Linked DNA regions of Rhinolophus ferrumequinum. The protein of the gene in region 4 purifies or fractionates together with the protein of the main gene of each other region. This does not show direct contact. Links are inferred from orthologs where the notes say so. Each region holds a gene or a part of one and is shown on either strand. Other genes may lie near its edges.

Region 1 (7,955 bases), on a different chromosome or scaffold from region 4:
TCCCCTAAAATCCTGAACACATTTCCTGAGGGTAAAGATTCTCCAACCCTGCCCCCAATCCCCTTGAGAACCATCCCTTACATAAAATGATTCTTCACAGAAATCCTTTCAATCCTGAGCTCCTCTAATGCATATAAGATGTGGAGAGCACTATTCATAGCACTATTCCAGCTCCAGGTCCACCACTTAATTAGCCACGTGACTCAAGCTCTTCCTCGCTGGTTCTCTACCAGCAAAACCAGCAAAACCTGTGTCCATGGTAGCTCACAGGGCTGATCAACAAACAGCCTAACAAAAAAAATTGCTTGGTAAATGTTAAGCGCAACGTTTAAGGTGACTAAGGTAGTAGGGTCCCATACCAAGCCTAAACCTCAAGGTCACCATCTCTTTGCTAGGCCTCAGTTCTTTCACCTGTAAAAGGTTACTATCCACACCTACAGGTTTAATTAAAGCAGCGACTCAGCACAGTGACTGGCAGTGATATATTTTCCTACCAATAATTTTCTTGAGGGAAGTAGGGAGGTAGCCTGATTCACTCCTAGCCTTCTACCATTGCAGATACTGATTAGGTTTTAAAACAAGCTCACCAGAACAGCGGCTGAGGAAACCTAGGCATTATACTCATTACAGACTATGGAAGGAGCAATTCAGCTTTCAAAACATGGTAATGGGAGAACCCACCTGAGGACCCTGAAAAGAAAACAAACAACCTAATCTTTGCGGACTCTATCTCTTTGCTTAACTACTGTGAATAAAATCAAAGAGCAAAGTGAAAGCAAAGAGCTGACAGCATGCATTTGAACAATCCAGAGGCCCCTATTCTAATCCTGAGCTCACAATCTAACGTGCCTCAAAAATTCTTTTTATCAAATATACAATCCCTTTTTAAATTATGGGGCGCGCGCTGTGCACACACACACAAAGTAGCTCTCAAATCACTGCGAAGCACGGAGACCCTGGTTTAAATAATACATTTCAAATGACTGTTTAGTAAGAGGTTACAGGGTGGTGTTGTGGAAGCAGCTAAGGCCTTGGAGTCAAGATGGCCTTCCCTAGACTCTTTGGGTCAATTATCTTAACTGGAGTTTTCTCAACTGTTAAAAAAAAATTTTTTTTTCTTCCGTTGCAAAACACTTAACACTAACATTACCACCCTGGTAATCTACAGTAAACATAAATTTTTATTTTTAATAGTCCACATGCTATGTTTGTCAAATAAATCAGTCATAAAATGATTTTGAAGAAACTAAACAGTGGGGAAAATGGGAAATTTGCTAAAGTACCTCAAATGCTACATAATCCATGACTAATTCAACTTCTCACCTACCACAGTTCTAGCAGCTCCAACCTGTGATAACTACTTTGAAAGAAAAAATACAGGAAATAAATGTACTGTAAATGTACTGCCAGGGCCCTCAGAAGTCCAACTAGGCTCCCCCCAGACAGATGATGTAAAAAGTCTAAACTGAACACATCCCTCCAAAGTTTTCAATAGTAAAGTGTTGGAAATATTTCCAGAATGCCTTTCTCTTGATTCCTGAGGACGAGGAACCACGGTATTTTGTTCCTCCCCACCCAAGGAAAGTTTAACAGCATAGTAGCTAGTAATTAGTGAGTGCTCATTAACCTTGCTTTAACTACACTCACTTTTAATCTCCACAAACTATAGTTAAGCACATTAAAAATGTGTTGGAAGGCAAATTCGTAAGAGACAATGTATAACTGAGGTAACAAGGACCTGGGGAGGGGGGAAAATGGGGAGTTATTGGTTAATGGCTACAATTTAGTTGGGGTATGAAAAAGTTCTGGACATGGACAGTGGTGATGTTTGCACGACACTGTGAATGCACTTAAGGACACTTAATCATACATTAAAAATGGTTAAAAGTGTAAATTTTATGCTACCGCAATTTTTAAAAACTTTTAGGAAATCAGATGTGTGCCCCAGCCTTCCCCTGTCCTCCCCCACAGCTGCTGGTCAGAGCCAAAACGTCTTTCTGGTGACTGTAATCAAAATGGGGGGTTTCACAGGGACACAAAATGATGCTTTAAGGAAATTTTTAAAACCAAGGATCCGAGACAGAGCCTCAAGCAGGACTCGAAAGGTGACGGAATTTGGAAGTGGGTGGCCAGCTGAATGATGGAAAATCTTCCCCTAGAACACGGAAGAGAATGTTTTCTTTTTTTTCTTTTCCTGTTTCTAAGGGTGCACACGGAGCAGCAGGCCCGATCTCTCCATAAATAACTACTGCGCACCTGGGGAGGAAGTGAGGGACGCAGCGAGGGACTTGAGCCAGGGCCAGAGCGTGGGGCGAGGGGCGGTCCCGACCGAGGCACTTCTCGCGGGGCGGGAGAGGGGGGCGGCGCGCGCCGGAGGGGGAGGGGAAGAGAAGGCCCCCGGAGCCGGCCTCCCGGTCCCTACCTATACCTCCGCTACCCGCCTCCGCTACCGTTTACCGTGGTCGACCACGAGCCAAGGTCTGCGCGCGCACTCTCCTCCCCCCACTTTAGGGATCGGGAAACTGAGACGCCGAGCACTGGAGGGGTTGGAGGGAGATATGAAACCACGCGCCCAAGGTCACCCGACAAGCGAGCGGGCCGCAGACTCTGGGACTCGCCCGCTCCCGGCCGGGTCCGCGCCATCATCCCCGCGCGCAAAGACTAGACCCGAGACCTCGGACCCGGCCTTCAGGAGCCGGAAGAATAGACGCCCGAGGCCTGGGAGAAAGGAGTAATCCTTGAGGCGCTCCCGAGACTGCCAGGCTTCATTCCTCACGCCTTGTCCGCCTCCACCCGCGGCAGGCCCCGCGGGGAAGGCCTGGGCCGAGGCCCGGCTCAGGGGAGGCAGCCAACAGACTTAACGGAGCCACCGCCAACTGCCGTGTAAAGTGCCCGACCCGAAACAAGGAGCCGTGGAATACTCACCCTTTCGGGCCCGGAGCCCCGTTGCCGCTCGGCGCGCCCGGCGCGCCGCTCTCCCCCTCCATTTTGGGCTCCGTCGCCGCCACCTCGGCCGCCGCTTCGACCCCTGCCGCCATTTTCTCCGCGTCTGGCTTTGTGTGAGGGAGCGGGCTGCGCGGCGCTGCGCCTGCGCTCTCACGTGATCCAGAGCGACCAGTAACGCCTGCGCGCGCCGCGGCCGGCTCCCGCCTAGTCCCCTCCCCCCGGGCCACGCCCCTGCTCCGGGCCATGCCCCCGCCGCGCGCATGCGCGGACCCGCAGCTGTTATTCATTCATTCCCGCGACAAATTCGTTAGACGTCTACTGGATACTCCACCCGCTCTCGAGGTCTGGGAGCAGGAGTCATCTCCCCACCCCCTACCTGGACCTAGTCACTTCCTTCTTTACGTAATCAGCTAGAGCGGAGGGGCAGCGAAATTTGTGTTTACTAGAATATAAAGGAATTAGCTAGGCAAGGGCAGAATACCGACGGGCCAGACTGACTGGTGTGCAAAATGATGTCTCTAAGCAAGTATCATCCTGCACCAAGAATAACTGGCACTGTCCAGCCTTTCTCTCCACTCGCTGGGAGCTCCCGGGTGTAGAGCCCATGGCCTAAGCCTTTCTTACTAAACCCATCAATCAACCACAAAAAGCATAGCTGAGGACTTAGTATGTATTCATACTCATCGTTTATTGAGTGAATGGACAAGCCAGAAGCCAAATGTGATGGGAAAAATGAACTACAGGCCAGCAGATCCCATTAGCCACAACTGGAGCTTCCTTCTGCCTGACACTGGGTCCCTCTGCCCTGAGGGCTTGTCCCTGACCCCAAACTGGTTTTCAGTGCTGTTACAGGCAGAGCCCAGAGAAAAGGCCAGAGCCTAGGGGTGCGTTCAGAGGCTTCAGGCTTCCTTCCCCGGCAGCCCATCTCTCTGGTGTCTCTGGAACTTCGAAATGCTTCACTGAATCTTACAGAAGTTGCCACCAACCTCTCCCAAGGCTAACAAAGGGAAATGCTTTTGTTTTGTTTTTTTTCCACCTCTCTCACAGAATGACTACATTCCACCAGTCTCTGGAGAACCACCTCACCTGCCACCCTCTCCCAGCTGCTTACTTCTGCCTGGTGATTCTGACCTACAGAATAAATTCATCAGGTAGCCCAACATGACAGGAGGCTATGCCCCACCCTCTCTTTCCACTTCCATTCCCATATACGTCGCAAACTACCTGTCTCACAGAATTCCCTTCTCTGGCCCATCTTCAAGTCCCGCCGCCTCCCATGCCTCTTCCTGATATCTCCTCTCTACTCAAATCCACTGTGCACAGCAACTCTTCTGCCATGGCCACGCTGGAATCTGTGGACCTCACCCCACTCCCCCTTAGATTTCTCCTACACTGGAGGGGCTCTTGGGACAGAAGAAGCCTCATAAACCTCTGAATTTCTTTGCCCAGCAGTGTTCAGAGATGGTGGAAGAGACCACAGCAGTCTGTCAGAACCAGGGAGAAGAGGCCCATTGCAAAGCATCAGGGACAAGAAGCCACCTCTCTGATCCTTTCTCCCACAGTGGGTGTGATTGGAGATTTCAGACAAGCCAGGCCCTGGCTGAGGAGACAAACTCTCCCAGGCTGGTCTCCTGCAAGCTGGACCCAATACTGCCCAGATTCCTGGGTTTTGCCATCTTCAGAACTATTACTTACTTTGCACTTTCCTTTGACACACCTTGTTTTTCCTTTTAAAAGTACGTGTTTTAAAATTGTGTTTTATATTGAAAACTTCCTATAAATAGCTTATTGTAAAAACTAAATAAGAGGGCCGGGCCGGCCCGGTGGCTCAGGTGGTTAGAGCTCTGTGCTCCTAACTCCGAAGGCTGCCGGTTCGATTCCCACATGGGCCAGTGGGCTCTCAACCACAATGTTGCTGGTTCAATTCCTCCAGTCCTGCAAGGGATGGTGGGCTGCGCCCCCTGCAACTAGCAATGGCAACTGGACCTGGAGCTGAGCTGTGCCCTCTACAACTAAGACTGAAAGGACAACAACTTGACTTGGGGGAAAAAAAAAAGTCCTGGAAGTACACACTGTTCCCCAATAAAGTCCTGTTCCCCTTCCCCAACAACAACAACAACAAAAACTAAATAAGAGGATGATGCTATTAAAGTATAAATTCAGTCGTGCATGCTGCCAAAGTCTCTGAGCCTAAGACTTGCTCTCTTTGCTAAGGTTAGGGGTCATTAAAGACAGCCTTAGCACCAAGCTACAACTTTCTCCTGGACATAATTGAAAATATTAGAAGAGACCTGAAAAGGAAACAGCTTTCTCGTTTCATGATGGCTTATCCTGGGGCCTCTCTGCCTCATCTCCAGGGGCACCACACTCCAAAGATGGCCTGAGAGGTAGGTGCCAGGCCTGGGTAGAGTGAGCAGCTGCAGAGGTGAGAAGGGTGTAACCCCGTGTTTCTGCAGACCACCAGATGCCTAAAAGCCCTGCTTGTCTCACTGCCTCCCTCCGAGCCCTCTGCCTCTCAATCACACTGCTACAGCACCGACGTCTGCCATGCTGCTCCCTCTATGGGCCGTGCAGGTTCCAACCCCTAGGCCTTTCTCTTTGCTGTTCCTTCCACTCCGCAGCCAAGCTGGCCAGCCTCTCCTTGCCCTTCTAGTCTGGCGTAAAAAGGGTTTTTCTTCCTCTGTGGGTGAGCCACAGACCAGACCGGGATTCATGCAGAAAACAATAGAGTGTGCCAGACACTGCTAGGCCCATCGGGGACGTGTCACCTTGGGTGAGCGACCCCACTGCTCTGAGCCTCATTTGCTCATCTGCCAAAGGGATTAATAAGAGAACCCCAGAACCCAGTTTTCAGAGCTGCTCTGAGTGTTAAATGTGGCCCGATGCAGAGAGCTCCCAAACGTCCAAGACTCCTAAAACGCTCAAAAAGTGGCTGCTGTTATTAGCATGACCGTTCTCCTTGTTTCCTGAGTCCTCCTAGAAGGGGAAGCACAAAGCTCAGCACTAGGGCCACACAGACCTGTGATCTGTCCCAACTCCACTTCCTAGAGCTGTGGGACCTTAGACAGAGGCTTCCCAACTCTGGGCTTCAGTCTTCTCATCTGCAAAGTGGAGGTCATAGCCATTCCTCCCACCGAGGATGGTGGTGAGAGTCGGAGGAAGCCTGTGAAGGCTCCAAACTGAGCCCCATCCAGCGAGACCCTTAGTAAGTGTGGACATCAGTTATTAATAAGTGTCAAGGGCCCAGCACGGCATCTGGCCCATAGTAGATGCAAAGTAAGTGGCAACTGTTCTTCCTATGTATATTTGAAATCATTTATTAGATAACTTTGCTACCTGCTCTTCACTTGAAAACTCAGGCTTGACTTCTTCTGCTGTGTTCCACGATAGATCCCTCAAACCAGCCTACTGCATTTTTTTAAAACCTCTGTGTGGTCCCTGATTCCCCTTGGTCCCAGGTCCCTCACTTTGAGGCCTCGGTTCCAAAATGTAATTGACAAGTCCATTTTATCCAGCAAGAGCTCCTTTTATTCATTCAGGGTGGGTTTGTGAAACGCGGTGCAACTTTATAAAGTCGAGGGTGCCAGGAATGCGAGCCTGCCAGGTGCAGAGAAGCGCAAGAAGCTTGCGGGACCCCCGCCCCATGGGCGCCCTCGACTAGCCTATGGCTACGGCTGCGGGCCCACAAGGGGCCGAGTGGACCTCAGAATGAGATCAGAGTGCCTGCTCCGTCTGAAGCTCAGGACCACATCCATCTGTCCTCCTCATGTATAATAGTGTGCAAAATAATCTGAAAACACCTTCACACAGCATCACAGAATCAGCTCCACTTGGCATCTCTTGGCCTAAGAAGCGTTCTGGCCGTGCAGGAAGGGTCGGGCAGTTCCCGTCCTTCTGAACACCAGGGCATCGCCAGCCGGGCCTTCACACAGGTGTCTCCTCTGCCACCTTCTTCAGGAGTCCAGCGGCCAGTGGGGAGTGCTGGGTAGCCTCAGGGCCATCCGTGTCCCGGATCTTCAGGCGCACTTTCTGGTTGGTCCTCCTCCACTCAGTATACAGCTGGCAATGGTAGCGGAAGGAGACCTGTGGGCAGTGCAGGCATGGGTGGAAGGCCAGCCGGCAGGCCTCCACCCCCAAGGGAGGAAAACTGGGCCCCTGAGCCTCCGGACTTGGGCCACACCAGGGCCGGAGCTCTTGCTTCCAGAAGCAGAGTCAGCCGCCAGGCAATTTTCATACAGACTGTGCCCACACACAGCCATTCACTCTCCTGGGAATATTCCCACCAGTGTTCACAGGTCTGCAAAGGTGAGGGGATCTCTCAGAGGGTGAGAGTGAAGTGGTATAATCTCCTGGAAGGGATTAAATGTCGATAGGTCATATAATCGCCAAAACTCAGAAGCCACCAAGATGTCCTTTAGTAGGTGAATAAATAAACTTAGGACATACAGACAATGGAATATTATTCAGTGCTAAAAAGAAATGAGTTACCAAGCCATAAAAAGATATGGAAGAACCTTAAATGCATGTTACTAAGTAAAACAAGTCAATCTGAAAAGGCTACAAACTGTATGATTCCAACTCTATGACATCCTGGGAAAGGCAAAACTATGGAGACAGTAAAAGGAGCAGTGGTTGCCAGGGGCTAGGGTAGGGAAGAATGAATAGGTGGGGCACAGGGGCTTTTTAGGGTAGTGAAATTATTCTGTGTGCTACTTTAATGGTAGGTACATGTCATGATGCATTTGTCTGAACCCATAGCACGTCCAACATCAAGAGTGACCCCTAATATAATCTACGGACTTTGGGTGATAAAGACATATGTGTCAATGGAGGTTCACGACTGTAAGAAATGTATCACTCTGGTGCCATGTTGACCGTGGGGGAGGCTGTGCCTGGGTGTGGGGAGAATATATGAGAACTCTTTGTACTTTCTGCTCAATTTTGCTGTGAACCTTACATTGTTCTAACAAAGTCTATCAACATTATTTTTAAATAAATGTCAATGGTTC
Region 2 (7,607 bases), on a different chromosome or scaffold from region 4:
TGCTTCTTCCTCTGTGGGCTGTGAAAAAGAAAAAAGGAATTGAGGTCTCAAAGTTCATGATTTGAGGCTGGACCACCCTCTCCCTTCTCCCTCCCCCCAGGTTAAACCCTTCTAGCATATTTCTGAGAGCATTAGACCTTCTCCTGCAAACTTCCTTTGGGTTAGAACCCTCTTCTTCAGAAGAGTGGTTCTCTTAACTGCATTGTGCTTACATGGGACCCTCCTAGGGAACTAGTAATAAAAAGCAGCTTCCCTGGCTCCCCTAGCTAGACCATCTCAGTAACACCGGGAATCTGTATTTTTACCAAGAGGCCAGGTGATTCAGATGCAGAGAGCTCTGACCACATTCTGAGAAACCATGTTCCAGAATCTAGAAAGCCCCACACCAAGGGACGGCTATATAGCGATTGTTTGCCCAATGAAGAAACAGGACACTCCTTGCTGGCTGCTCCTTCTGCACTGAATACCCTCTCCTCTGTATCCACCCATAGTCTTCACCACTCAATGCTCAAAATGTTTTGTGAAACTCCACTGGAATACTCAACATTCATTATCAATACATTGCAATATTCTTTCCTCACCAGTCTTCCTTTAGTAAACAAAGTGTCAAGTCTCAGAAAAATAGTTTCTCCCCTGACCTCATGTTCCTTTCTGCTGCGGCCTTCTCCCCCGCCTTCCTCCGCTAGCTAAACATCCTGAGTTTTCACAGCCTTACTGTTCCCACTTCCTCACCTCCCATTTGGTCCCCATCCATTTGAAATGCTCTTGCCAAAGTCAAAAGCAACTACCTACACACAGCCCACTAAGCAGTTACCCGACCACGTGATCAATGACCACTCCTTCACAAAACTCTCCACTCAACTCCCAAACCCTGTTCTCGCCTGTCTTTCCTTCTTGCTCAGCATTCCATCCCAGTCCTTCCTGGTTTCTGGTTCCCCTCCTGCGCTATAATGGGCACCCCCAAAACTCTGTTCTTGATTCTCTTCCCGGTATTCACACTGTCCTCAGGCCAGAACTCACAACCACATCCTCCATTTCCCCTACCACCTCTAGGCTGAACAATCCCGCCCAAATGAATGTCCCGAATCACTTGTGTGCTAGAGCTTTAGATCCACTTGGCTCCTAGGTACTTTCAACTCTATCCTCCTTCCTCATGAATGGCCAAGCAGGCACCTGGTCAACCAGGCCAGAAACTTGGGCCTCCTACCCCTTCTTCAACCTCCACATTCAGTGACAGTAACATTTATCGAGCAGAGTAGGTGCCATATGCTTTTTTAAGCACTTTAACTATATTAACTCTTATAACCCTTATGAGAACCCTGTGAGGTAAATACTTTAATTATCTCCATTTTACAGATGACAAAACTGAGGAATGGAGCGCTTAACTGGCCCAGATGGCAGCAGAACCAGATTTCCAACATACCACTTCGGCTGGAGAGCCTGTACTACAAGCCGTTTTGTGACATGAGCTTGCCAGACCCTCTGCTCACCCCCAATGTAGCCAGGCCCTCAGCATTTTTTTTAAATAAAATGACGAATCCTCCATCCTCCTTGCGAAGTTCTTTGTATCACTGCTTATATACCTGAATTTCTGAAACATGAATGTGTCATTATCCTGCTTAAAATCCTTTTCTCCCCATTGTCTACTTGAAGTTCAAATCCTCTGAACCGCATCTCCTGCCACCGCTTCCCCAACACTGTGCTTCAACCACACTTATTTACCTTTCACCAGAGGCACCATCTGATTCCTATCTTGCTGTCTTTGCACTTACGTGGTATCACTTTATTTTTCCCCAGCGACTGGGAAAATGCCAGGACACACAGGTGCCTAAATATTTGTGGAAAGGGTATGGACCTATCAAATATATGGTGATGGAAGGAGAACTGACTCTGGGTGGTGAACACACAATGGGATATAGAGATGATGTATTACAGAATTTTACACTTGAAACCTATGTAACTTTACTAACCATTGTCACCCCAATAAACTTTAATTAAAAAAAAAATTAAATGTGGGGAAAAAAAGGGTATGGACCTCTTCTGTCATGTTCCCCACTGTAGTCTGAACCCAAAGCAGTGGTCAGCACACAATATGTGCTCAATAAACGTTTGCTGAATGAATAAATAATGCCATTTCCCTCCCCCAATCACCTCCCTGCTGAACTCCTATTCATCCTTCTAAAAGCAATTTACCTCGCACGCCTGTGGGCTTCACCTACTTTAATCTCCCCTCCACCCGGTCAAAGCAATGGTCATTAGATTACTGTCTCTCTTGTACCTGAAATTTGTTATAGGGCAAATCACAACATACTGCAACTGTTTATGTACGTCTTTCTTCCTCGGTTACCTGAGATGTTTTTAAGTTCCACTCTGTTATTTACAGTGATGGGGCACTAACCATTTGTTGAGGAATTAAGTATATCTGTATCCCCACTAGCCTGTGAGCTCCCTAAGGGAGGAGTTGTGCCTCACTCATTCCAGTAACTTGGAAGCCTGGCACGGTGTCTGGTTTAGGCTAAGCACCGAGTAGATGCTGAGAATTAACATTCAGAGCTGTACCCCGCAGGCTGGGAAATCAGGGGTAACTGGGCAAAGGCTGGGAGCCGGTGGGTCCAATTGCCACAGAAAACCGGTGGATGGGCTGGAACAATGTTTCTCAAATTTTAATGAATCGCCTTGGGATCTTGTTAAAATGAAGATTCCTATTAAAAGACCTGGGGTGGAGACTCCGCATTTCTAATAAACTCCCAGGTGATGCTGACGCAGCTGGTCCGCAGACCACGCTTGGAGAATCACTGTCCCAGAGCTCGGCTCGCTACTGGAGGGCAGCGCGTTGCCTCCTGGGACTTGCAGTCCCTCGAAGCCCGCCTAGGCGGCCGCTTCTTCCTGCAAAAGTGAGGAGCGCCCAGGCCTAGGCTCGGGCTGGCGGTTGAGGTGAAGGGGGCACGGTACCTGTTTGGGCTCGGTGACCACAGGCGGCGGCGGGGGCACCGCCTGCACAGGTCCAGCCGGCATGACTGCGACGCTCAGGGTTGCCAGTCCGCCTCGGTGTAGGTGAGCAGCGCTGCGTCAAAACGGTGCCCGCAGCGCGAGTACGACGACCCCGCAAGATGGCGGCGGCCGAAAGAGTCGCCGCCGAGGAGACAAGGCTGACGCACTTCCGGACCCGCCCCTTCACCGTGACGTAATTTCCATGGGAGTCGCCCTGCGAGACGCCGTTGCCATGGCAACGGTCGGGGCACACGGCTAGAGTTTGCCGGGTTTCACAGAAGTGGCTGGCATGCCAGTCAGTTCTATGAGCCGACCAGACACAGGGGCTGAGGCTGCGACGCCGGAGACGGGTGAGACGTTCTATCTACATCACCTGCCGGACGCCTCCCCATTTACTCCACTGGCACACCTTTCCTTTACTCCACTGGCCATTTCCTCGCTTCCTCCGACCCCGCCTTTCAAGGCCCCAGCTCCCTCCAATTGGTCTCTCACTTTGGAAAACCCCCTCGGGCCCTCCTCTTCAAAGCCCCACTTCCTTTCTGCTTTATCCCCCTCTTTCGCTTCAGGCCCACCTCCCCCAAAGCACCCTCCCAAGTCCCAAGCTGTAACTATCTCTGGTCCCTTTTCCCGTGGGTCCGCCTTTTCTAGATTCACTCCCTGCCTTCCTCAGTCCCGCCCTCAAGTCCCACGGACTGTGTCAAATTGGGGCAGCTGCTTCAGATTTCACCCCCTCGCTCCCCCTTGTACCTCCCTGTAGGCTACTTTCCTCGCTTCCCTGAGGCACTACTTGAATCCCGCCCTTTTTGCTTTCTCTCCTCCCCGTACCCTCTCCCCTCCTTTCCAACTCCTGAATGCGGGCCAGCTCTGAGGCCTTGTCTGGACTTCAGTTTCCTCACCTGTGAAATGGGGGCATGATAGGAAGAGATGCCCTCCCAAGTCTCCTCCCTGTCTCTCATGCTCTCTCGCACACACACCTCATAGCTGTTTTATGTCATTGTTGTTTATTATTAATGTAGAATCATAATGATATCTAGAATTTATTGAACATTTACCATGAGCCAAACCCTGTGCCAAACACTGCATGCATGACAACAATTATTTCTTATAGCAACTTCTTTTCAGATGAGGACAGTGAAGCTCAGCGTTGGTGGAGTGGGAACCCAAACCCAGGCCATTCTTACTCCTTTACTAGTACAGTTACTTATTCCTTTGTCTTCACACGGTTTTTTCAGTGTCCCCAGGGATCCAGGCAATTCACAGTCCTGAGTCAGAGACTGACAATTGCCATATACATGGTTTTCCAGGGGTTTTCATGGTGGTGACCTTGAATCTCAGCAGGTGCATTGGTGGGGAGGTAGGCATAATCTTTACCAGAGGGGTAGGGTCCTAGGGCTCAGAGAGGGAAGAGGCTCGAATGTTGAATGGGAATGGAGGAAAGGCTCCCTCCCTTCTCTGTGAATGAGAAGTCTACCTTGAGCTTAAGGGAACTGAGGAAAGGCAGTTAGCTGCCCCTCCTACCTCAGGGCAGTGTCGGCTCAATTAGTACCATCACCTATGTGACCTCAGGAACTGTGCAGGGCTGGCAGCTTCAGACAGAGTTTCACTCAGCCAGGAATTAGAAAGCTGATGTCAAATGCTCCTACACTTGACACACACCTAAGTGGTTCTCAAACCATGCTGATATCTGCAAATCCCCAATGTTCAGAAGAATTGACAGGTAAACTTGGCTATTTTTTAATGTCGCAGTTTCGTCTTACATATTCTTGCTTCTTTGGCATTTGCTGGTGCTTATCAGAACTGGAATCTAACAGGAGTTGGTATCTTAGATGGCCTCAGATGGCAGATAGAGTTATTTGAGGGTGAACAGGTCAGTGTTTCTTGGTGTCTTCATAAGCAAGCTCCTGAGTTCCAGCGCCTCCTTCCAGGGTAGGGTTTCTTGCTTGCTTTATTTATTCCCATCCTCCCTTTCCAAAAAGGAAAACCAGGATGTTTCAGTCTGTTTTTTTCTGTCTGTTTCTGCCTCATTTCTTGGGGACATAAAATCTCATGGGTGGCAATATCTCACTAGAGGCAGTCACCACGGCAACATATATGTATGGGATATGGGCCTGTGTGCGTGCGTGTGTGTGTGTGTGTGTGTGTGCGTGTGTGTGTGTTGTGGGGTAGATACTCAGGGCCCTGTGGGTGAGACTGATAGAGCTGACACACCCATGATTCGCTCCCTGAAGAGACCCTCAGATATAGATGATGGTTCCTCGTGGACAGGGCTCCATGTGCCTTGCTCTATCCCTATTCTTGACACAGTGCCCAGGATATAGTAGGTACTCAGTCACCGTTTGCTGAATGAACACACAGGATCTGGCCCTCTACACCTACACTGTGCAATACCGTGGCCACCAGCTCATGTGGTGGCACATTTGAAAATGGTGGCTGATCCACACTCAGATATGCTGTAAGTGTCAAATGGACACTGAATTTTGAGACTCAATGCAAAACAAAATAAAAATTAAAAAAAAATTTTTTAATCCCCTTAATGACTTTATATTGATTTCATGTTGAAATGATAATATTTAAATAAAATATTAAAATTAATTTAGCTGTTTTCTTTCTTTCTTTCTTTCTTTTTTTACTTTTTTAATGTGGCCAGTAGAAAATTGGAAATCCCATATGTGGCTTCATTATATTTCCTTTGGACAGTGCTGCTCCAGCAGCAGCATGGCCTGAGGACAACAGAGATGTTGGACTCAAGAATCCCAGCTCCCTGAGTGAATTTAGGCTAACCTCCTAACTTTCCAGAGCCTCAGTTTTCTCATCTGTATAAAGAAAGTGGCACACAGTAGGGAAGTGGTACACAGTAGGGAAGTGGTACACAGTAGGTCCTGTGGTCAGAACTAGCACGGTTGACGGATGCTGTCTATGTGCAGTTTCAACTCAGGTGACCCCACCTGCCTTTTCCCTCACCCCATTCATCCAGCCGGGAACACTCTCCTTCTTCTGGGACAGCCTCCTCCCTGTCCTCCAATAAGCTCTCCCTGAGTGATCGCTCATTCACTTTTGCCTTCATCCATTCCCAGGGACCCAAGAGCTGTTTGGGGCCAGCCCTGCACTGGAGACAGGAAGCCAGGTACCTGGATGAGCCTCTGACCCTGAGCCTTAGGCTGGTCCGAGAGTTGGGCAGGCGCCCGTGCAGACATCCAGCTCCATAGGCAGTCACCTACACAGAGGTGAGAACAGGGCACAGTACTCTGGGAGGCCAGAGAGGCCAGCTCAGCCCTCGGGAGCTACCCCTGGGTACCTCTGAGTGTCCCAGCACCTGTGGGCACAGGCTGGCCCTCGGGCCCCTTGGCCCAGGTGGCCAGGTGATACCCCAGTGAACTCAAAAGACAGTCCATGCGCTTGCAGGGAGACAGACTGCCCCTCACAAATAATTACTCAAATAATGATTCAGTGCTGGTGTGGTGAGTGCTGGGATAGAAAAGAACAGGATACTCTGAGAATGTGTAACGGGACTTTACCTGGCCTGGGGAACTGAGGGAGGTATCTTATCCAGAGGAAGTATGGGGGTGGGGGGCGCAAATTGTAGGTGGGGAGAAGCTGAGGTCGGGGCAGACCACCCAGGGCTCGAGCCTAGGGAAGCAGTCCAGTCTTTATGTTGTAGAAAGCCATTCAGGGGTTCTAGCTGGGGTAGGAGTTGCCTTTTTAAATAATCACTCTGGCTTCATATATAGAATGTGAGAGGTGGTGCTGGGCAAAGGGAAGAGGGTGACCCCTTGGAGGCTGTGGTAGTGGTCTGGGGAGATGGTGAGTGTGGAGCAGTGTTGATGGACAGAAGTGCTGGGTTCTCAGCATGCTTTGGACATGGGATTGGCAGCACTTGGTACTGGATGTGGAAGTAAAGGAAGGGGACTCAAGGAAGTGCCCAGGTGCGCTCAGTGGGGGTGCCATTTTCTGAGATGAGAGAGATTGGGGGGTAGAAATAGGTTGGAGGAAGAGAGGTGTCATGGTCAGTCCTGGACTTACTGTGGGCCCAAGGGGCCATGGTCTAAATATTGCCCAACGGCCCTTGCCAGGAGGGGCTGTGGTGCAAGGAAGCACTTTCTGATGCTGAGAAATGCACAGGGTGGGGAGGGACCAGTACTCAGCGTCCACAGGGCTGCCTGGCTCTGAAGAGAGGGCTGGCTCTGACGGCAGGTGCCAGAGAGGAGAACCCCCGAGGCGTGCAATGAGCCAGAGGACGGGCTGGGGCAGTGTCACTTCTCCACCTTCTGAGTCAGGGGCCATGGATGGTTCATCCAAATCTCTGTCTTCAGATGTCCATAGACTCTAAAGATGGACAAGAAACAGGCTGCATGGGCCGCAGGGGAAAAGCGGAAGTACAGAAAGCCGTGGCTCCAGACTAGGGTGACCTTTGCTGTCGTAGCTGTTAGTAATAGTCATCCCAATAATAATAGTCACTCCTGCTGGAGAACTTGACTGAGGCCTTGCCCTGGACCAAGCACTTGACTTGGGGACACTTTCAAGGCCTCACAACCACCCAGCCTGGTTGGGAAGGATGTCCCCACCTCACAACTGAGGCAGCTGGGGCTCAGAGGGGTGCACTGACTTGTCCAAGGACA
Region 3 (7,071 bases), on a different chromosome or scaffold from region 4:
AATATATATGCCCAAGTCTGACACCCATTCGACACCACAAAATTTATCTGGCTTCAGCTGGGGGCTTCCTTACACTAGTCGTGGTCCCCTTGCCTCAACAATTTCAAAAACCAGGAATAAGCTGTGTCTGTTTGCTGCAGCACTCACCTCCTCATCAGACTCAAACTGTACATTCACCCCGTATGTCTCATCAATGTTGTCGTCTGAAACAACAAGGGGTTAGAGAGGACAGTGAACAGACAGCAAGAGGAAGCACCAGGGAGCTCATTTCCTCCCCAGTTGCCTGACTTCCCTCTCAGGACAGATGGCAGGTCTAAGGACTCACTTTACAATGGACACTGAGAGCCACCTGTACTGCCACCAGCAAGGCCCTCCCCACCTGCCAAAACTGGGTTAAGTCCCTGTTCTGCTTGCTCAACCACTTGAGCTCCCCAGGCTCTGCCCAGATTTTCTCCCATGTTCTATACAACAAAAGGGTCCAGAGTAAGAAATGGCTGCAGTGATCTAGGGCTTCTGGTGTCCAGCAATGGTAACTATTCAAGAAACACCACAGGTTATGGGAACTCACTGACACATTCAGCTGTTTTAAAGACTGGAGCTAGATCATGTTTAGGGGTTAACAAGCAGCCAGTTAATGTGATCAGGACATAAAGAGTTCAGTTACCCATGTTCTGGATCTCCTTGTCTCCACCGTAGTCTGTGATCTTTTTGCCCAAGTTCACTAGCACGTGGTATCTGGTATCATCTGTCTGACCCAGCAGCAGGTCAATCTCCTTTCTCCTTTCCTTGTCACGAAGCTTTTCATTCTTTAGGACAGCCAGAACTTCATCAGCTGCCCCACAAAGAATATCACGTGGCTGGTGGCAAAAACGACCCAACAAACATTTAGAACAATGACAGGCAGAACATCACCAACCAGCTTTATGTGACAACAGGATGTAAGGAGTCATACCTGTTTAAACCCTGCATTCCAGGTTCTGATCATAGTCATTAATGTTAATTCAAAATGCCACCAGACTCACATAATTGAAGACCCCTCTGTTTTAAAAATGATTAGGTAGGTGGTCTTAGGAAGGAGAGGGCATGGCTTCCACTATCGTCTGCCACACTTCTCCAGGTGGTATACGTGCTCCATAGTCTTCCACTGGCCTGCCAAACTTCTGGAATTCTCGATCCTCGCCTCCTCTAGCACCCACCTGACCAGAGCCTCAGACTCATAATGGTCCCTAACCACACGGGAAGCACTGTCTCACATAAAGTAAGTGCTCAGGAAATATCAGCCACCTCTGCAAACTGGCATGGCCCACACAGGAACATCCACAGGCAAGGTTCTCTGGCACCCAGCTGTGAGTCCCTCCGTGTCCACATCCATGGCTTCACCCCGGGGCTGCCTCACCTGGTCCCCAAGAGCAGCCTGGATGAAGCTGAGCAGCACCTCATAGGTCTCCCGGGTCTCCTTCGTTTTGGGCTTGTAGATGATGCCCACCATCTCGTCGATGCCCTCCGACAGCAGCGTGTACCCCTTCATCTTGTTGATGTCGTGCCGGTCCTCGTCACGCTTCCTTCGCCTGGCAGACGCAGTGATGGTGAACGAACGGGCAGAACCTTGCCCTCGGAGGCAACACTAAGAAAGCCCACCCTCCTCCTCAGCTTCTTGGCACACAGGTAACATCCAAGCGACTGCACCTCAGCACGAGTCCCATCTGGCCTTAGTCACTTGCAGGTGTGTTTCCTTCCGGGAACACAGCACCAGAGCGGGACTCCTCTCACTCTCCCACTAGATGCACTGAATGTCACAGGAAGACATCCTCCTCATTCATTCACAAAAAACAAAACCACCTTTTTATTTTGTAAGACCATATTGTGCAATTGGATTTTGAATAGTTTTTCACCCCAGACACATTTTCTTTTTCTAGCCAGGGAAAATGAAGCGCCAAAAGAATCTACTGCCATTGATTCCGAATAAATTGTAACAAAAATGTAAAAGAACTATATCCCCCCCAAAAGTGAAAAAAACCTGTGTTTCGTTCCATGGCTGCTTAAACATTAGTCTATAACAACAAAAGTATAACATGGGCAACAGCAGAGGAAAAAAATAGGACTCTGAAATCCGTAATGGAAAAAAAAAGATTTACCGTGACAAGGGAATAGCAAGAGTCTTAAAGACATCATGAAGAAAATTAACATCTCTCTATGGACCAGAAACACATATGTTAGAAAAAGGTCTAAACGTTGTTTTCCACTTCAGGCACATTTGTTGAGGACAAAAGACCTTCTAACTCTTATGTTGTTTTTATCTTCACGGAGTTGTTTCACTGCTATTGACGTCTCATCTTACACCCAGCATTTCAGCAAAAAAAGCTGTTCAAATGCTCAAGGAAAGAGAGATTTTGGCTCTGAAGGAAAACCATTTTCCCCTTGGTACTCACTTGGCTCTTCTTTCCTCCTGCATCTGTGGTTTGGTCCGTTGAGCCTTATCTCCCATCCGGGTGCCCTCCAACTTCCCAACCAGGGACAGCACCTCTCCTGTGGGTTCATCCCGGCGAGTCCGGTCGATGAGAGAGCGGTCAGCTTGGAGGACAAGATTCGAGTTCTAAAAAGATCACAATATTATGGAACCTCTGACACGAGCAGGGCCAATTCCTATGTCACAGGGATGCCAGAGGATGATAAAGGAAGTAAAAACTGGAGCAAGCAGGTGCTAACGATCACTAGTCAGAAAAAGATGTTTTCCTCAAGACCCACTAGTAGTATCCCACAATTGCGCATGAGTAAATGGCAACGAAATCAGTTAACCCATCCTGCTCCTAACAACGCCCATAGTAAGCCACACCGCGGACAGTGCTGGGTATGTTGGGGGTGGCATCTGGAAGGGGGCGGATATACCGCTGACAGGACAGGGACCCCGGATCCGATCTCCCCTCCACTCTCGCGGTTCTCCTGCAGGCCTTCAGACAAACTACCTTCCGCCGCCTCTCGCTCCCCAAAGGGCTCCCGAGCCCGGAGTCCTCCCGGAGCCCATACGCACCGCCTTGTACTCGTACTGCAGGCTACGGGCGGTCACATCCGCCATGGCCGCGGCCGCTCCGGGGTCTTGGCGCTCCGCTACCCCTTACCACACACTACGAAATGCCGCCTCTCCGCCCTCCCGACGGGTCGGAACGACGCAGGAGAGACGCACGGGAGACGGAGAGAAACCAGCTCTTTTCCGCTTCCGGGTCGCGCGCCGGAAGTGCAAGTGGGGCGCATTTTCCGCGGGCGCGCGCCGTTTCCCTTCTGGGTGGGGCCGGCGAATTCCGGGTCCCGGAATCCCGGGACCCTCCGACTCTGGTTCCGGCTACCTCCTGCCACTTCGGACTCACCGCCCATACTCTTCCTCTACCTCGGGCTCCGGCTTCAGCACCAAAGGCTCTTCACTTCCTGACGAAACGTTCACCTGCTTAGCCCCCTCGTTCCAACCCCAGCGCTTTTCCAGCCGCTCCTGACAGTGGCATCTGTCCTGTGGGCTGTGCAGGCTGGGAGGAGCTAATTAGCTCCAGTTCCGGCTGAGGAAACTGAAGCACCCAGCGAGTAATTTATAATAACTTGCGGGTGTGCGCGCTCGCGCCTCAGTGAGTGACTGATGTCCTCCTTTGGGTTTCTTGTCCATAGAAGTACTATTCATAACAGCCTACTGAGGCATGTCCTGGGAACTGCTAAGAGCTCAGTTTAGCTGAGCGCGGGGCAAATGGAACCATGGGATATAATTTGGATAGATATCGTTTAGAATCTCTTGGGAAAAAAAAATGCCACTGTTAAGAGTTTGCACTTTAGCCTAGGAGACAGTAGGAAGCCATAGCAGGTTTCTGGTTTGGGGTTTTTCGTTTTTTTGCAACTTTACATCAGGTGTTTGATTAGAGGCACCAACATTTAGATTGAGCAAAAAACTATCATGTGGCAAGCATTTGCAAAGTGCCACTTTGGCATACATTATCTCATTTAATCTCCATAAAGCCCAATGAAATCTATTGATTACTTTTACCAATAAAGAAATCAAGGCCCAGAGAAGATAAGCTGACTTGCCTGGCTTCACTGGCCTCAAAGGCAGTCCTTCTCTTTCCAGGCCCTCTGTACAGGGGTTCCTCACAGAGCTGGGCATTGCAAGGTAAGAAGGAGAGTGGGAGAGGGGGGGTAGGGGAGCCAGAGACAGCTAGTACAGCTGGGGCTACTGCAGGAGACGGAGCAAGAGGTGAGCTGTACCTCCTGGAGGTACCTAAGGCAGGGGTTAAGAAACATTAGAAATGAGAACAAAACTCAGAGGAACTTGGTGATTGTCTTTGGTGTGTCCAGGAAGCCTTTAGGTTGCCTGAACGCTTGGGGCCGGGGAAAAGGAATGCTGGGTCATTCAAAGTGCATTGGTAACTTGCTTATTCGATGGTGAAATGCCTCCTGACCCAGGATTGAACATGCAGCTCATAGGGTTAGAGTGAGGTTCAATCACAGGACTCCGGTAGATGCAGTGGCCTGCACAGAGGAGGGATTCAGTAAATGGTAGTTCTCTCTCCATTTGCCTGGAACATCAGTTCACCGATAATGCATACTTTTGAACTACTTCATTCATTCGTTCATGTCCTCATTTAGCAAAATGTTACTGTCTTCTATGTGCCAGTCACTGCACCAGGAAACAAGACAGATATGACGTGTAGATATATGTAAGTTTAACTAGGTGGAGACAAAATTGATCTTCTAATTAATTCACCTGGTGTATGTTTGTAAGCAGGCTTGTTCCCTTCCAGGTCTTCACCTTAGGAGGCAGTGCCCTGCTTTTAACCAAGAGGCAGTCTGATGTGTGATTCAACACATGGGCCCTTGTATCAGACTGCCTGGGTTGAAATCCCGGCTTCATCCCTTACCAGCTGTGCAATGTTAGATAAGTTCTAAGTCCTTAGTGACTCTGTGGGTCAGGTGTGTCACCTGTGTAACGAGGATAGTTTCATCTACTCCATAGGGTTGCTGGGCGCCTATAAGTATGCCAGGAAATAGTGAGTGTCAAGTATTGTCCAATAGAGCTGTATTTCTCAAAGGTATTTATGAAACGCTTTGTGTTTGGAGGCAGTTTATGATTCAAACACAGGAAAACTGCCTCCTTCTTTGTCATATCCTTCCTTTCTATCCCAAATGGTCTTACTGAACCTGAATGGCCCTTCGAACCTACCAAAATCAGTTCTGAATGACTGTTGGCTCTTCCCCAGACTCCAGCCCTCACACAGGAGGTAACAGTTTGCCAGCACTAGGTGTATCCAGTGTCACAGCTGTAGGTTGGGTGGCTGTGCTGGAATGCTGTGGTACAGGGCCACACCGTTAATCTAAGTGTGTGGCCGCTCCAGGTGGCTGGTGTGCAGGGACTGAGAACTCATTTCAGTGTGCAAGTTGCCATATGCTCGTTTAAAAGTGAAATAATGTCATACCTATATATATAAATGTAGACTTTTTGGAAAGGGGTCACAGTCAAGGCGTGGAATTTGATGGGGAACTTTACCTCAGTTCTAACATTAACATTTTACCATGCGTGCTTTCTCACATCTCTGTCCATCTATCCAACCCTCTATCCATCCGTCTTTATTTTTTGACGCATTTCAAAGTACAGACATCTGTACGCTTTCCCCTAAATATGTTAGCATGAACATCACTAACCATATTTCAATATCTGTTTACAGTTCTCTTCGATCTTTTGAAATAAAATTTACGTATAATGAAATACACAAACCTTAAATGTAAAATTCTCGGAGCTTTGACAAATGCATACCCCTACCACAGTATATAGCACATTATCATCACCCCAGAAAGTTCCCGCAGGCCCTTCTAAATCAGTTTCCACCCCCAGAGGCAATCAGTGTTCTCATGTTTTTCTACCATAGATTAGTTTTGCCTGTCATGATTTTCAGTTTAAAAAAGAGAAAAAGAAACTTTATGTAACTGCATATTCATTTACCATGGGCCAGGCATAGCTCTAGGTTCTTTGTAAATACTAACTCCTCCTGTCAATCCTTTGAGCAAGGCCGTATTAGTTTCTCCATTTTGCAGATGGAGAAACTGAGACATAAAGTGGTCCAATGGCTTGCCCCAGGCCTCACCACTGCAGGGAGTGGGGTTGGGCCCTACAATCTCTGTGGACATCTTTCAGACCTACTCCAAAACGTGGGGTTGTGGATGATTTTTGTTTTCTTCCTTTCATTTTCCTGTATTCATATGATCAGTTACATTAACCAAAGAGCACGCAAGCATTCACTGTTACATGAGAACCATGTCTGTTTGTTGGACGGATGTCATCATGGGCGGCTGAGACAGGAAGTGACTAGGTCAGCGGGGGTTTCTGAATGTTTACTCTTCTTGAAATTAAGCATAGAATTTCTCTAAAGGGTAACATGTTTGCTCAAGATGTGCCCTGTATCATGAAATTAATGGAGTATTTTAAGGTGTTTATAAAGGTAACATTTTTATTTTCAAAATTTTTATACTGAAGTAATTTCAAACTTATATGTACCCTTTATCCACATTAACCAAAGAACATATGCCAAATTCATTTTTACCATTCTCTATTTCTCTCTAATGTTTTCTTCTAAAATAGTTTAAAGTTACATTATCGTGTCCCTTTATTCCTTAATACGTCTGTGTGAATTTTTACAGAATAAGGCCATTTTCTTAACTAACAGTAATATGATACTATTCCCATATTCCAATTTTGACAGTTATCTCAATAATGTCTTTTACAGCATTTTTTCAGCTCCCAAGATCCAGTGCAGGATTATGCATGGCATTAATCGTCATCTCTTTAGTCTCCTCAAGTCAGGAATTGTTCCTCCCCTTTCTTTCTTTCTTCCTTTCTTTCTTTCTTCCTTTCTTCCTTTCTTCCTTTCTTCCTTCCTTCCTTCCTTCCTTCCTTCCTTCCTTCCTCTCTCTCTCTCTCATCTTCCTGGACACTGGCATTTGGAAGGGCACACACCAGTTATTTTGTAAAATGTCTTTCTATTTGACTTTGTTTCCCCACTGTAGGGGTTATAGATGTTAGGCATGGGGGGCAAGAATATTCTC
Region 4 (8,157 bases):
GGTTCAACAGCATCAGGGGATGAATACAAATAAAAGGACTAGGGAACAAGAAAATCAATTTTAAGAAGCCTTTTAGGGTAAGGGCCAAACAAAACACAAATCCTTCCAGAAAACAGGTATGAGACAGAACTGAAGACACCTGCTCACCTCCCCCGCCTCCACCACCCCCTCCGCTGCTGCTGTTGTACTGGTTCTGTTGTCCGTAGCCCTGAGGGGGATTATAGGAGCTTGGCTGCTGTCCGTAGCCTTGCTGTTGGCTGCCATAGCCAGACTGGGGCCCATAGCCTCCACTCTGGGGCTGCCCATAGCTGCTGCTCTGAGAACCGCTACCGTAACTATGGAAGAGGAAAAAGAAAAATGCCAGCATGTCCAAAACTTGCTTTCACTTTGTACATCCCATTCTCTGAACTCTGACCTCAACAGACACCCCCGCTACCCCTCCTAAGTGCCCCTTATAGATTCAGCCCTCCTGTTTCTGGCCTCCCCCCACAACGCCTTACCTTCCCGACGTGTTGCTAGGAGCTGGCTGCTGGCCATAGCCAGGGTAGGAAGACTGCTGCCCGTAGGACGACTGAGAACTCTGGCTGCCGCCATAGCCACCCGCTGAGCCATAGCCCTGGGGAGCTGACTGAGTGCTATAGCCTGCTACGTGGAAAAGAGAAAGGAAGTCATAAAAGCTACAAGGAAAGAGAAAGGCACAGAATGAACTGAAGAAAGCATTACATGTTACCTAATGCTCTACTTGAAAAGTCGCCTCTTAGAACCTGTTTAGAAATCTTGCAACTCATAGACAAAGGAGTTACCCTTCTCTTCTATGCTAAGGCTCATGTTCCAACTTCCACCAGCTTCAGAATTCCAATCTCAACGCCTTCATCCCAAAGCCCGTCTCCAGGACCACCAGTAAGCACAGCCCCAGAGGCCCCACTCGTTAACAGCACTTCAACCTACTCAGCTGTGCAGTATAAAATAGGACAACCCACATTCTCTACACTGCAGGACCTCAGGGCAAACTCCACCGCTCTAGGTAGCACATGATAACAGTCTGACTTCAAACATCTTCAGGCAAATCATGTCCTTCCTGTTAAGTATTAAAAGCCTACAACTTGCTCCCTTTAGTGAATACTTTCCCCACATTTCACCTTCATGCAACACAAATAGAAAAGTAAAAAGCCAAAAATGAAAAGAAACAAGCCCATAAGCGTTTGGTTTGAAAGGACTCAGATGCCAAGGGTTATAGACTGGATGAGGGACAAAGAAACATGTGACAGTTAACACTTCAGCTTAGGTTTAAGAAAAGCAACATTCAGAAAGAGCAGGAAGAGGCGGGGTGGCCCACTAAAAAGAGACTCACTGTTCTGGGTCTGTCCGTAGGAGCCGTAGCTGCTCTGGCCATAGCCGGAAGTGTCCGCTGACTGGCTGTAACCACCGTAACTCTGCTGTCCGTAGGGCTGATTGCTCTGCTGGGAATAGCCCTGTCCAGGCTGGGTGGGGTAGGCCCCATAGCTGGAGCAAAGAAAACCGGTGCAATCAGGAAACCTACCTTAGCAACCCTGGCCCTCCGCAACCTCTGGACGCCCAGAAAATACACTCACCTTTGGGTTGCTTGTTGGGTATAGTCTGCAAAAGAAAAAACAATCATGTCACCTTCGCCTGTCCCTACGAGAGGAGAGCACAAAGCAAAGAAAAGGCGCATTGCTACGAAGACTAAGAGGCCGCAACACCCACCGGCAACACCAAGTCTCGGCGGACACCCACCGTTCCCGGCCCGCAAATTCAACCGGCATCGGAAACCACACGCACTCACACACGTCTGGTTTCCACCACCGCTCTGGGAGGAAGGCCCGGCCGAGGGTCGAGCTACACAAGCTAAGGTCGGAGCCGCCGCAGCGGGACGGCCTTGAACGCAGGCCGGAGGCAGGAGGCAGCGCTGCTCCGGATGTGGCTCCGTGCTCCAGCCAGAACACAAAACCGCCCCCGGAGCGGGCCGCCTTCTACTGTCCGCCCCCCCTGGTCTGCGAGGCTGGGGAAGCGGCCTTTCAGCGCAAAGCTAGACACCCGAGGGGGGACCCCGGGCGTCATCGAGGCGCTGGTCTCGGGAGACGAGGTCACCGGCTCTCGAGCCCCGGGGCTGAGGCTCCCCGGAACCCGTTTTCTCACCGCCCCGCCCTCCCCGAGGCTTCCAGAGGGGGCGAAGCGCCCCCAACGAAGACGCACCGGCCAGACCCCCGCTCCCCACGGCGCCGTAAACGAGGGGCTTCCCCGCAGGGACGGGCCAAAAGACCGGGGGAGGGTGTGGCCGCTCCTTCCCGTTCCCACCGCGGAAAGAGGAAATTCAGGCGGGAAAACGCGGGGGCCCGGGCCCCACTCCCCTCGGACGACCTCCAGGCACCCCGCCTCCGGGAAACGGGTGCGCGGCCCGAACCCCGAGCCACCGCCCCCGGCCGCGTGGCACCCGAGGCGGGAACGGGGAGGTCCCGCCCCTTCCCGAGGGACCCCGGGGGCGGGGCCCACACCGGACGCGCCCCGCCGCGTCTCCCGCCGAGGGTCTCGCGACAGAAAGCCGCCCGACACGGGGCGGGGGCGGGGGGGTTCGCGCCACGAGCGAGGGGGGAGGGGCCAGCAGAGCGCGTGCGCCCGCCGAGTGCCCGGATGCAGCACTGCGACAAAGCGGGCCCCACGGCCGGGCCGGGGACCCGGGGGGAACGGCCACGGACGCCGCGCGTGTCCATCCGCGTCCCGCGTTTCCAACCGCCCAGGGGCTTCCCTCTTACACGGGCTCACCGTCGTGGGGCTTCGTAACGGGGCTGCGAAGGGAGGCCCTCCCGCCCCGCGCCAGGCGCCAGAGCGGCGAAACAAGATGGCGACATCGGCCTCCCCCTTCCACCCTCCGCCGCCGTTTCCCGCCACCGCGGTACGAGACGCTCCTCTACGCGACCGCCGCCCGGTCTCCCCGACCCACAAAACCGCCGCTGGGCGGGAACGAGGCCCCCCGTCGGCGCGCCCCTGCCGCCTCGCGCCCTCACATACCGTTTGAGGCCATGTCGGCGCACGCGCGCACGGGCCGACACGCAGCGAGATCCCGACACTACGGAGCACCGACGCCTAGAGGACTGAGCAGCCCCGCCGCCTGCGTCGACGTTTATGTACGCTTCCCCGCCTACGTACCGCGGAGGAATGTTCCAAAGGTGAAAGTAAGGGGGGGAGTCCGAGCGGCCGCCTCCCGCTCTACGGTGAACATAGACGGCTGAGCCGACAGAAGGGAAGCACGTCGACTAAGAGGCTTCCAATAGTATGTAGAACCATGTGTTTTCTAACAAAAAACTCCGATTCGCTCTGCAGGACTGGCCCACAATGATCTCTACCCCCCTAAAATAATGGTACGGTCTGATTACCCTCTGGGGGCGGGACGAGGGGGGGCCCAGGGCATCGGCGGACGGAACTGTAGTCAAAGCCTGGAACCGCAGGGCGGAACCGAAATTTCTCGGGCGGGCCCGTTTCCCTGGGCCCCACTTTCACTGGGGACGACGCGCCCCTACGCTGCACTCCCCTTGCACTGCACCAAGACGCCTCGTAGCTCGGGCGCCATCCTCCCCGGCTCTTGAAAGGACGTTTGTGTCTTCCCTGAAACACCCCCGCCCCCCCCCCCCCCCCACCCCGCACCCCCCCCCCCCCCCCCCCCCCCCCCCCCCCCCAACCCCCCCCCCCCCCCCCCCCCCCCCCCACCCCCACCCCCCCCCCCCCCCCCCCCCCCCCACACAACCCCCCCACCCCCCCCTCTTGCAGAGTCGCGTTTCCTTCGTCCTTGCCAGGGTGTGTGGATTGTGACGTTTCAGCTGCAGGACAGCATGCAGCGTCGCCTGACGCCGCGCTCATCGCCCCCCCAAACCCGCGGGACCTCAGTTTAGAGATGAGATGAGGGGTCTCTCAGTCTTTTACTGATAAGGAGCTTCTCTTTATTTTCCCGAAGCCCTACCAAGCACCACTGTGGACATCCAGTAGTGACATGTTTGTATAGGGCTCAAGTGCACAGTTAATGGTTTTTTTTTTTTTCCCCATCACGATCTTGGGAAGCAAGTAAAGCTGTGCCCATTTGATAGGGAAGGAAAGCGAGGCTCAGAGGCCAAGTGCAGCGAAAGGTCAGGGGTTCTCATTCGACCCCAAGTCTGTGTGGCTGCAAAACTCGCCTCTCGTTGGTGACGTGAACCCTTTGCGGGGCCCTGAAGTCTGTCCACTCCCTGGGAAAGCAAGGACAAAACGCGACGGTCGAAGTAACCTGTAACTTGCCTGGAACGGGAGATTTGAACGTATGGAATAAAACACCACCAAGGAAGTCATTCCTGGTTCACAGGCACACAGATTGTCCTTCCCTACATACCTGTGACCTCGGTTCCAGAGTTCCTTTGTAGGTTGGACGTGTTTTCCCGGAGAAACAATTGAGGGCTACGCCCTAGGCCTGCCCACAAACTGCTGCTAACCCCGATTTAGGCCCTGATGGCCCTGTCCCCCACCCCTACCCGCATTGAGAGGGCAGTGTGACTCTGGAGTAAGGGCAAAGGGAAATCCATCACTCATTCATTCGTTAATTCTACAAATATTAAGTGTTCTGGGCACTGAGGATGCACAAAACAGATGAAGTAATTTAACAACAAACTAACATTTAACCATAATAGTGTTTATATATTAAATGTGTAACGTTTATAAGAGCATAACAATTTCATAAAGCTTGCTAAGTATCAGGCACCATTCTGAGTGCTTTGAGTATAGCTTGTTCGATCTTATTCACAATAAAAGTTGGTGGAGGAATACATTTTTACAGATGAGCAGCCTAGGCACAGAAAGGTCAAAAGCTATGCCCAGGGCGACCCAGAAAAAGTGGCAAAGCCAAGTTCCCAACCCAGGCAGCCTGTCTCAGAGTTCCTGCTCTTAACCCCTGTGCTTCAACAAACATCTCTTGAGCACTGTGTGATATGTACAAAGCATAAAAATGGGTCAGTCCTGGAACCACAGCACCTTATAACCCGTGGCTGAGATGTGGGTGAGACCCAGAGACACCAAAGTGTACTCAAATTAAATGTGCTGTGACATAGAATCAAGGACTCCAGACACTATAGGGAAAGCGAGTCATCCATCAGGTAGACACCCAAGGACAGAAGATGAAAGAGAGGTGGTAACACTGAAGCCAGGCCTCCCAGGATAAGTAGGAGTTCACCAGCAGTGAAAGGAAAGGGTGTAACTGACAGAAGGAATGGCAGAGACAAAGCCATGGGTGAGGAAGGGCACTCGTGGGCAGAGTGGCAGGGAGAAATAGGCTCAAACTGTGACCTCCAGGAGGTAGGTTTCTCCGGACTCGTCTCTCTGAGTCACAGAACACGGGGCCTCTTACTTCTCCTTAAAAGTCTCTTTACACGAAGGACACCCCTCTCCCGACCCTCCCACCTTTCCCACCGTCATTCTATCTCCTGCCCCTTCGTTCTCTGCCTTTACTCACCCTCCAGGGTTCTGTCTTCAGCCTTCTTCGCAGCTCCTCTGAGACCCAAGACCCCAGCTGTGGGCCTGCTGTGAGATGCAGCTGCAGACAGGTTCTGTGTAGCCTAACGTTGTTTTTAATTTTTGTAACGAGTTGCCAAAACATAGAATAGGGCAAACTCCACGCTTCTGTCTTTTCTTGAAAACTGAGGGCTCGGGCCATCCTGTACATACTGTTGTTCAAGTATGTTATGGTGACCCCGTACACCCAATGCTAAAGAACACTGGGGTTCAGTTAGCAAGAAAGGAGAGGAATGGCTATCGCAATCTCCTTCTCATTTTTGTTTTGGTCTGTTCTCACACTAGCCATACAAATAGTGTATTGAAATAGGCCAGAAACGTAATTAGGGTGTATCTCTTAAAAGGGAAGATTCCATTTATAGCAACACTTGCCTGAAAGATACTCAAACTGAATACTGTATTTCATCACAACTGGTTCTGACCAGCTGAAGCTAATAAACAGGTGTGGCCTTTGAGTGACTCACTGGATGCCGGACCCTTATTGGACCTAACGAAGACTCCTTCCTGGCCAATGAGCAATGGGACTCTGTTTTAACCAATTGGGTCAGACCTATGAATTCATTCCCATCCATCCCAAGTGTTAGTTTTTCGTTGTTAATTAGCATATGACCCTGACAATCCCTTCCTAATACTCAAACCTCTCTTGACTTCTCACTCTCAGCAACCCTGCCAGTGAATGCCTCTTCACTGATGAGTTCCTTTGACTGTCAAGTACCGTCAGCCTTTTTCTTTTTTTAAACTTCGATGATCTTTGTTTCTTCACTGACGATCTTTAGAAATCATTTACATTTAGCTTTATAAAATAGTTTTAAATGAGAATCAGGGCCACAGTTTGACCATCTAGGAAAAGGGTCATTAAACTTTTCTGTTTTAATGGGGAGATGGTAAATACTTTAGGGTGTGTTGTTTTTTAACTTTATTTATTTTAAGTGTGTTTTTCCAGGACCCATCAGCTCCAAGTCAAGTAGTTGTTTCAATCTTGTTGTGGAGGGCGCAGCTCACAGTGGCCCATGAGGGGATCGAACCGGCAACCTTATTGTTAAGAGCACCACGCTCTAACCACCTGAGCTAACCGGCCACCCCCTACTTTAGGCTTTTTAAAGGTCTCAGTGGCAAGTCCTCAGCTCTGCCTTCATATCTCAAAAGCAGACATAGACAATAGGTAAATGAATGGGAGTGTCTGTGGTCCAATAAAACTTTACTTCAAAAACAGGCTGATGGCTGGAGTTGGCCCTAGGGCCATCATTTGCCAACTCCTGAACTAGGATTCAAGCCATTAAGCTATGGTCTATCATAAAAATCAACCCAGGGGCGGCCGGATGGCTCAGTTGGTTAGAGCACGAGCTCTTAACAGGTTGCCAGTTCAATTCCGCATGGGATGCTGTGCCCCTGCAACTAAGATTGAAGACGGTAACTGGACTTGGAGCTGAGCTGTGCCCTCCACAACTAGATTGAAGGACAATGACGTGGAGCTGATGGTCCCTGGAGAAACACACTGTTCCCCAATATTCTCCAATTAAAAAAAAAAATCAACCCAGAAGTAAGGTAGAAATCAAGTTGGAGATCCCCAGCTGTATTTGACTCTCCCCAGATCTAGCCCTCTGCAGAATGGTCCCTAGCAGAAGAGGATCAGAACGCCTCACCATTTCTTCCATGAGCTGAGTGGGGATAGCCTGTCGGACCCCAGACAGTTCATGTACTAACCTAACCAAGGCTTTAGTGATCAGAAACTTAAGACCATTGATAAGAAAGGTTGTAGCTATCAACGGATCCAACCCAATTCCAAAACCAAGATACAGAGCGGGCCCCCTCTGTAGATAACTAGGAGAAATACCAACCCTTCAGAGGGCAGGGCTAGTCAGAATCACCAGCAGGCCACCATCCCTGCTAACTGATTGGCCCAGCTTGAGACGATTGTCCTGGATCAAGAACTGGCCAGGGAGCTTAGGCCGTGTCCTTAGAAATGACTGATGGTATGAGATTGGAAAGAGCAGTCAGGAACCTCTTTCTTCAGGGCATTTTAGGCCATACCGAGGCGTTTGGTTTATTATGAGAGCCCTGAGCTGTCACAAGCAAGGGCAAACAATTTTTAAATTTGATTTAATAGCAGCTAAGCTTCCACCCCTGTGGAAAGCAGACAGGAGGAACGGTTATTGTGAACTGGACAAACCATCTAGAATGCTGGCTATCTAATGAGATATTCTGCAATGATAGAAATGAGCTGTCCCCCGGGTAGCCACAGGTGGTATGAACACTGGACATGTGGTCAGTGAGACTGAGGAACTGAACTTTAAATTCTATTTAATTTTAATTAATTTTAATTTTAGTAGCCACATGTGTTTAGTGTCCACTACAGTAGGACAGCACAGGTCTGGAAGTCCAGCACACATAGCTCTGATCTCCTGGGATTCAATAGGAAACCCACCACATCCTTATAATAATGTGCCCCTTTTTTATTAAGAGAGTTCGAATGGGTTTCTGTTACCTATACTTGCCTGCCTCATACGCACTGTTGTTTGAGATTTTTAGAATTCGGAACATGCAAACAAGCGACGGGAGAAATATCTGTGACAAGAGAAAAATTCTAAGACATTCTAAATTCAATTACAG

The links.
Region 1: the proteins of FUS (region 4) and HNRNPM purify together in Homo sapiens (affinity purification with mass spectrometry; 4 studies listed by BioGRID and IntAct, with this or other methods). This does not show direct contact. The link is inferred for Rhinolophus ferrumequinum from reciprocal best matches to the Homo sapiens genes FUS and HNRNPM.
Region 2: the proteins of FUS (region 4) and SF3A1 purify together in Homo sapiens (affinity purification with mass spectrometry; 3 studies listed by BioGRID and IntAct, with this or other methods). This does not show direct contact. The link is inferred for Rhinolophus ferrumequinum from reciprocal best matches to the Homo sapiens genes FUS and SF3A1.
Region 3: the proteins of FUS (region 4) and SNRNP200 purify together in Homo sapiens (affinity purification with mass spectrometry; 3 studies listed by BioGRID and IntAct, with this or other methods). This does not show direct contact. The link is inferred for Rhinolophus ferrumequinum from reciprocal best matches to the Homo sapiens genes FUS and SNRNP200.

Annotation. Positions count from the first base shown.
Region 1 is NC_046301.1:57,246,692-57,254,646, reverse strand, and holds the start of HNRNPM (heterogeneous nuclear ribonucleoprotein M), read right to left. Parts: upstream 3,039-7,955; coding exon 2,926-3,038; intron 1-2,925. Other genes in the region: E3 ubiquitin-protein ligase MARCHF2, read right to left, coding at 6,871-7,029. UniProt on the Homo sapiens protein: Pre-mRNA binding protein in vivo, binds avidly to poly(G) and poly(U) RNA homopolymers in vitro. Involved in splicing.
Region 2 is NC_046308.1:19,547,802-19,555,408, forward strand, and holds the start of SF3A1 (splicing factor 3A subunit 1), read right to left. Parts: upstream 3,116-7,607; 5' UTR 3,016-3,115; coding exon 2,953-3,015; intron 19-2,952; coding exon 1-18. Other genes in the region: CCDC157 (coiled-coil domain-containing protein 157), read left to right, coding at 3,281-3,341. UniProt on the Homo sapiens protein: Component of the 17S U2 SnRNP complex of the spliceosome, a large ribonucleoprotein complex that removes introns from transcribed pre-mRNAs.
Region 3 is NW_022680356.1:1,943,838-1,950,908, forward strand, and holds the start of SNRNP200 (U5 small nuclear ribonucleoprotein 200 kDa helicase), read right to left. Parts: upstream 3,182-7,071; 5' UTR 3,074-3,181; coding exon 3,029-3,073; intron 2,594-3,028; coding exon 2,430-2,593; intron 1,569-2,429; coding exon 1,397-1,568; intron 858-1,396; coding exon 665-857; intron 204-664; coding exon 148-203; intron 1-147. UniProt on the Homo sapiens protein: Catalyzes the ATP-dependent unwinding of U4/U6 RNA duplices, an essential step in the assembly of a catalytically active spliceosome. Plays a role in pre-mRNA splicing as a core component of precatalytic, catalytic and postcatalytic spliceosomal complexes.
Region 4 is NW_022680357.1:239,599-247,755, forward strand, and holds the start of FUS (RNA-binding protein FUS), read right to left. Parts: upstream 3,164-8,157; 5' UTR 3,041-3,163; coding exon 3,028-3,040; intron 1,618-3,027; coding exon 1,593-1,617; intron 1,504-1,592; coding exon 1,352-1,503; intron 646-1,351; coding exon 501-645; intron 336-500; coding exon 148-335; intron 1-147. UniProt on the Homo sapiens protein: DNA/RNA-binding protein that plays a role in various cellular processes such as transcription regulation, RNA splicing, RNA transport, DNA repair and damage response. Binds to ssRNA containing the consensus sequence 5'-AGGUAA-3'.